Linked DNA regions of Arabidopsis thaliana. The protein of the gene in region 2 interacts with the protein of the main gene of each other region in a pairwise test. Each region holds a gene or a part of one and is shown on either strand. Other genes may lie near its edges.

The links.
Region 1: the proteins of NPSN13 (region 2) and HHP4 interact in a protein complementation assay, tested with the Arabidopsis thaliana proteins (one large-scale study listed by BioGRID).

What each region holds. Positions count from the first base shown.
Region 1 is NC_003075.7:17,698,926-17,702,682, reverse strand, and holds the start of HHP4 (heptahelical protein 4), read right to left. Parts: upstream 2,050-3,757; 5' UTR 1,798-2,049; intron 1,698-1,797; exon of another isoform or gene 1,677-1,697; 5' UTR 1,468-1,676; coding exon 1,202-1,467; intron 1,110-1,201; coding exon 857-1,109; intron 769-856; coding exon 115-768; 3' UTR 1-114. UniProt on the Arabidopsis thaliana protein: May play a role in abiotic stress response.
Region 2 is NC_003074.8:5,970,880-5,974,636, forward strand, and holds the start of NPSN13 (Putative plant snare 13), read right to left. Parts: upstream 1,694-3,757; 5' UTR 1,412-1,693; coding exon 1,335-1,411; intron 1,120-1,334; coding exon 1,027-1,119; intron 796-1,026; coding exon 702-795; intron 387-701; coding exon 349-386; intron 190-348; coding exon 89-189; intron 1-88. Other genes in the region: AT3G17450 (hAT dimerization domain-containing protein), read right to left, coding at 1,914-2,069, 2,155-2,544, 2,629-2,712, 2,802-3,757. UniProt on the Arabidopsis thaliana protein: Vesicle trafficking protein that functions in the secretory pathway.

The sequences.
Region 1 (3,757 bases), on a different chromosome or scaffold from region 2:
ATAAAGGAAACAATTAAACGTTTGATTACATATAAGACTTTACATAATCCAACTTTTATATGAAGCTACTACAAACAAGATTCAAAGATTCCATCTAATCTTCAATCTTCATCTTCAACATCCTTCAATATCTCTCCACTTAAGATACACTAGCCCAGCTCTATAGTGCGTGAACGCACCAGCAACAACCAGAACATGAAACAACTGATGGCTATGTCCTGCTATATCGAATTTACCCGGCATCCATCTCTCTGGGATCCTAGTTGCATAAACCAGAGCTCCTAACCCATAAAGCAAACCCATCAAAATCTCATAACCTGTCGTGTGAAGGGCTTCAGGTTGGTCCCAAAAGATTATCAGCTTGTGAAGAATCGGAGCTAAGCCAGAGAATCCCATTCCAAAGAACAGAGACGCCCTCACCACCCGAAACTCCGGGCTTTGGAAAACCGGGAGGAGAGAAACAAGCACAGTGGCGATTCCTAAGATGGTTATGAATCCTAAGTAGAGGTTGCAGAAGAAAGGATCACACATGAAGGAGTAATAAACCGGAGGGTAGAAGGAAGTCGCTATTAGAGCTGCGATGCCGGCGTAATCAAGCCTAAGCATTATGTAGGAGACTCGCTCGGAGTGACATGAGAGGAGGTGGCACGTGCTGCTTGCTAATAGACAGAACATAGCACCACCTAGAAATGCATAAAACGGCCATCGAGTAATTGGCCTGAAGATCAAAGGAGCTATCAAGTTTGCAAGATCTTCCCTCACAGAATGCTGCAATGCAATTACAAAGATATGAACTTGGCCACATTTTGAAACAGTAATCTGCAGGAATAGAGAGAAAGATTGAGTCTTTTCTTACCAGAACACACATGTCAGTGTAGTTGCCATGAGAAAATCTTTCAGGCAAACAGTTATAAAGAAGGTCCATCACATGCCAACTAGATGGACTAGAAGGAAGGCGAGCCATGAGCTCAGAATGAAGTTTGTGGAGATCTGTTTTCCTCAACAAATCGGGTAAACGGTGTTGAAGCGAATGAAGATCCACGACACTCGGTACTTTCGTTGCAGTGTATATAGTGAGCGCCAAAAACAGGAAAAACCCAATCAAGTGCCTGCAAATCCCAAAGAACACACACACACAAACACACTCAAGGCTCTTGAACTTTAAACAAGGATACATCAAGAAACATGATTCAACACTTACGTCCAAACATTCAAAGTCTCATTATGAATGGTAAAGATGCTGAGAAGAATCTGTTTGATCGGCCATTCGGATCGGTAATGACCAATGATGTACTCATTGTCTCTTAAATAAGCAGGCAATGAATGAAACTCCACCAATTGATACTTGACTTTCTGCCATAACCTCTTCCCTTTCACATTATGTTTCTTGTCCATTGTTTCAGATGAAGCTTGTGGCTTTAAATGTTCCTTGATCTCTGCCTCATCACCCATTTTCTCTCTACTCATAAACAAACCAAACCCATAATATCAATCATACAGATCTAAATCTAGCTCAATCTGAATCATTCCAAGAAGTTAGGAATCAAAGTTTCAATTTTGAACGTTTATGCTAAATCTTGTTTTGTTCTGGATAATGAAAGTATCGATTTTTATATGCAGATTCAGCTCATTCATTACCTAAAGCTTCAATCCATAAATGGATTTGAGAAAATTACCTGAATTTCGAAAGACAAACCCTGTAAGATTTAAGAAATTGAGAGATAAGTAATTAAGAGAATTATGAGAATTTTTCTTCGATTTCGTGAAATTAGGAGAGAAAAGGTGAGATTTTGTTACCTGGATCTTCAATGCCGACGAGACAAAATCTTCTAAGAAAGATCTCTCTCTTTCTTAAAAGTCAATCAAAATAGATCTCAAGGTTTCGTTTTTGTCGAAAACAGAGAGTTCTTGTTTTGGTATGAAATCGAAGAAAGAAGAAAAAATAGAAGACGACGATGGAAGTGGAAGCTCTGAAGCCACAAAGCTTTATGAATTTTATATATTTTTATATATTTCAAATTGGGACCACTAGTTTTGTTTTGTTTATTAGTAGGACCCTTTTATTTTTCTTTATTTTCGTTTGGGCTAAGAATTTAATAGCTAGAGTATTTATTGTACGAGGATGGAAATACATCAAACAGAGAAAATGTTTTGTCGAAAATATTAACAAATATTTCTCCTATGAAATCAAGTCTTTCTCAAAAAAAAAAAAACTTATTTGATATGGGGAATTTAAATTAAGGGAAAATTAATTTAACATACCATATGAGAGCAAAAAATAAAAAATAAAATAATTGTGCTCCATGGATTCTTCTTATTAATGATTAAAATTTTCAATTAGGTGAAAAGGAAAAATTTATGATTGTGGCACATTTATTGCATTTAATCATCTTTCAACTAAAAATGGAGATGTCTATTTATGGTTTTGTTTATTTGGTCGGATTTCTTTTTTTTTTTTGTATAGAAAATATTGACAACGAATTGAATTTCAGTTCTAGTTTATGTTTGGATTTAATTTTAAAGCAAAAACTATCTATCGTTAAGAATTTTCCGAAATAAAGATTCACATTTCAGAAGATTTTTTTGTTTTGTTTCGAGTCGGTTTTGGTTATTTTCTTACATAAAATACACAGAATAATTCGAACCATAATATTGAATTGTTATTTTGGTTCACGTACGTTTACCGTTGGAGACTTTATAGCTCTTCGTTTATGCTTGTACGGATCAATAATCATGCATACTTAAGTATTTGGAAAGAAGAAGAAAAATAAAAGATTTTATCACAACATAAATAGTAACGTGAATTGGCATAAATGAATCGCAACAAACAGGTCGCAATCACAATGATAAAAATATCTACTGGCACTACTTCATAAGGAAGGATCTTGTAAGAATATTACTTTCGTTTTATTCGGATAAGCAGAAGATATTCGTTTTTTTTCTGGCTCGTTTTTTCACCTATTCAAGTTTTATGTCAATTTGGTTACGTACTCCAAATTGTGGCACTTGTAATTTGACACTCTTTATCAAAGTTATCACTTATCTTACTTGCCAACGAAACTAGTATCAGTATTCAGAGCCATTAATACAAATCAATCAAATCTTAGAGGAAGAACTAAAATGATGTACATAAATTGATGTTTTAGTTTTGCCAATTAGCATAAATAAATACTTTTAAGAATCTTTTCACATTTTTTCTCTAATAAAAGTGAAACATACACATTAAATCTTTTCACATTTTTTCTCTAATAAAAGTGAAACATACACATTAGAATCAGTTGTTCACCATATATAAAAAGGCTCGCCAAATTAAGATCTGGACATACTTAAAATGGGATTGGGCTGGTAAATATTCTAAAAACATTCCTTAAAAAGCCCACTCTGATAAGTCCGCGACTTCGAAACTCCGATGCAGACCGAAATTGGTTCTATAGTTTGGGAGAGAATGACCAGACCGGTTCAATCAATTTTCCTTCGATGGACCCAACCGAATAACTTCCATGTGGGGACACAACTTAAGCTTGTAACGACCAGACATTCAAAGAGTTCCGTCAAATAGTAATAGAGAAAGACTAAAGAAGAAAATATGGAAAAATAAACAATAAATAATAATAGAAAAAGACTATTGAAGAAAATATGGAAAAATAAACAATAAATAATAATAGAAAAAGACTATTGAAGAAAATATGGAAAAATAAACAATAAATAAAATACCTACTTACCGTGGGTCCCACTACGGTACTACTGCCGCCTTCTC
Region 2 (3,757 bases):
TCTAAACTTCAAGCATGTCAATCTCTAATTGTTCTAAGCAAACTCATATTTTGGTGGCAACTGAAGACAAGAATGCATAAGGACTCACATGAAGCCACTTGAACATTTTCCTCAGCTGTAGGTTCGCCACTAACTCCAGCTCCCATATCAAAAAGCTCAACTTTCTTGTTGCCAAGGGTACTCATATACCTGAGATTCAAGACCAATTTCACATGTATGAACACATAAAAGTCAAATGAAATCCTATATAGATATTCTGAACGGATCGATATGAAATCAAAACCCTAAAAGAACAGGTTGAGATTCAAATAATCAGCTTTCTTAAAGAGGAATGATAGAAATACTAACGTTTTTCTTAGAGCAACGTAAGAATTGAGCTCCTTGATCTGTAACATTATACAAAAGAAAAAGTTAAACACAGATGTTAAAAAGTTCATACAAACAAAATGTTAGCAGATACAAAGTACAGAGGGGAGTGATAGATACACAATGACACTCAATATCCACCTTAATATATCCATTCGGTTATAAACACACCTAAAGATTGACCAAACTGAATACGACTGATGCTGTATAATGGAACTTTACGAAGGTGCCAAGTAAGAGTTAATATTCACATATTTACTTCAGATACATATGACATTGTAGTATAATCAAAGAAAGGCCTCAATGAATTTAATAAACAAAGGATAAAAACTCACCATAGATTGTTTCTCATCGTTCAATTGCTTATTTACTTCAGGAGAATTTCTAGCTTCCTCATCCTTGAGTTCACGGTCGAACTCTTTGACCAATCTGACATGAAGTACACATTAGACAAGCAAATACAGATTATTGAATCATGGATTTGTCACATCAATACTCTTTCCTTCTCAATTCTCATTATACGGCATCGTATCCAGCTCAAAGAAAAAGAAGTACGCATAACAGTGATCAAAGAGCACATTCTACTAAAGGCAATTAGCAAACAATGTTGTAACGCCGAGAACATAATGGTAAAGCATAGCAATTATGAAATAAGTATACCTTTTACACTCTCTCATCTTGTCAGTAAGTTCTTCAAGTTGTTTGCTTTGTCTAGTTGAATCCTTAATCTTATCCAACCTCTGGAAACCATTCCTGCAAAACAGATAATGGTGAATCATTAAAAGAACAATCTTTTGAGTGATGACTAAATCTAATTCTTATCATCAGCATTAAGCAAAACACGCATAAATCCTATTGAGCACACATAATCAAAAAATTCCAAAACCCTAAAATATATATCACAGTGTTTCGTAACCACGACAGAGATAGTTAGAAAATTGAACAAGAGGATAACATGTAAAACATACGCGAGGGCTCGGAAATGGTCACGGATTTCGCCATGGATCTGCTCCAATTGAGGGCTCATGGGGAGATTAGAAGCCATGTCGCCGGAGACAATTCAGAATCCGACGAAAATTTACCCAAAAACTACGTCACTGCATCTAAAATTTCCCTCCAATTTAAATTAAAACCCTAATTAGACAAAAACTGAAGTTAAAATCTCCAAAAAGAGAAAACACAAAGGAGAATGAATGAAAGACGAAACAAAGGACGACAAAGAACGGGAAAAGGGAAAGAGAGCTGTCAGGTGTGTGTTGTTTTTTTCTTTTTTATTCAAACATATATATTTTTTAAAAACAAAATTGATTAATAAATAAATTAAAAAGACAGATATTCGGTAGTTAAAAAAATGACAGCGAGGCGCCAACTTTTTGGTCCCATCCATATCCGTTGTTAGATAAATTATTTCACTTTCACTAATTTCACCTAATAATACTTTGATTATATTCTTCTAGCCAACAAAATTTTCATATTTTTCGAATATTTTAAGGATACAATGCTAGAATTCAAAATACAGTGTTACTTCGTTAGAATTGTAGCACTAACTAATCATCGTCACTAAGATCATCATCGTAAGGATCAAGGTTGTCTTCACCTTCACCGTCAACGTTACCAGATTCCATGTAAAACTTCTCCTCCTCTTCCTCATCGTCTTCATGGTCTTCCTTCTCTGCTCTGTCTTCCCCGTGCAAAGCCTCCTCCTTCACCAATAAACTACATTTATTAGCCTTTTATAAAATCACTGGAATGGCGTTTAGCGTTTCTCACTTTAAGTAAGTTAAGTACCTCCTCCTTCTCGGATGTTACGAGCCAGTCAGGGAGCAACCGATCCAGCAAAGCGTGGTTAAGAGTTGGTGGTGGTTCATCCTCATAATGTAGCCGTTGCTTCAGCTGTTTTTCTCTGAGCCGTAAGTTGTAATGAACGTATGTTAGATCTTTCGTTGATTTTTTCCCAAATTGGCTCTGGCATTGACTGTTAACTTGGTCGTACACGCTCCACTTAGGCTCACACCCAACAGACGAGCAAGTGTGGCTCAGTATCCGAACCGCCACTCGCTGGAGTTCCAAACAGCTTATCCCATGCTGTTGCCACCACGCCGATGGATCAAGCTCTGTTCTTGTGCCAATGGCTATATCCGTTCCAAAATCAGCTTTCGCACAAGTATAATCCGGAATCTGAAAACATTTCAACAAAAAGTTGGTTTAACCTCAGGTTCTGAGAACAATGTGTGTGACTTGGTGATTTGTTTTTTGTCTCACCTGCATCAATGCTGTGATTCTACGCGTGTTATCAGGCTCAAGCCTAACAATGCATTCGTTAACTCCACGCACAACCTCAGACTGCTGCAGATTCATTCACATTTACAGCAAATGTAAGGAAAATGGCAGAAAGCTTTTAGTCATTGATTCAAATGAATGATAATCATACCTACCGCCATAAAATCAGGACGATATTTGTATGCCGGGTTGAAGAAATATGCAGCCACATAGAGAGGATGATGAAACAATGGGTTCCAACGGTATTCTATCACCCGCCAAAACGGTCCGTATTTCCTTGCATCATCGCTATGAATAGACTTGATCGCCATTTTCGCACAGCACATGTAACCGTAAGCATATGGCATAGATAGTCTATCGCCACCATCATTGATCATGTGAATCACCTGCATCACCGGATCAACCGATTTCAAAACATACTGAACCTTCTTCCAAAACACAGCACTCAACACCATCTTCTCCACTTCTCTTCCCTCTTCAGACTTGGCGGCGGTCTGTGACAAAATCCAGCCGTCAGATTGAAACAGACCTCTGAGACTGGCCTTGTGGTCCATAAGACTTTGAAGAGTGGTGAACCCGGAAGCGTGGCGCATGACTGCTGGTCTAAGAAGATCTAGTCCCTGTGTGAATTCGTTCTTCATAAGATTAAGCAGCCATGTTTGATTGTAAATGAATCTTGTGATTCTTTGGGCTTTCTCTAAGCACTCGGAGACAAATTCTAGCTTTGAGAAGTCTTCAAGAACCAGTTCTGTGCAATGTATTGCACAAGGAGTCCAATACAAATTCTTTCTCTTCTCTTCAAGTAATTTTCCAGCACTTCTAAAGATAGCAGTGTTCTGTGTAATAACCTGCACCACATTTTCCTCGCCAATGTCGTCAACTAGTTTGTCTAGACACTTGAAAAGGCTTAAAGCATCTTCTACTATATCAGTGGCATCAATCGAGGAGTGGAAGTAGACACCACGAGGGCACGAGACCAAGAAACTGATCATTTTCTTGCCCTCTGTGTTGGTCCAAGTATCTGCCATTATGGAACAACCTGTAACCACCCAAGAAGATCTGTACTCCCTCAAGTAGCTTTTGATAGTTGACATCTCTTCCTGTAAGAGCC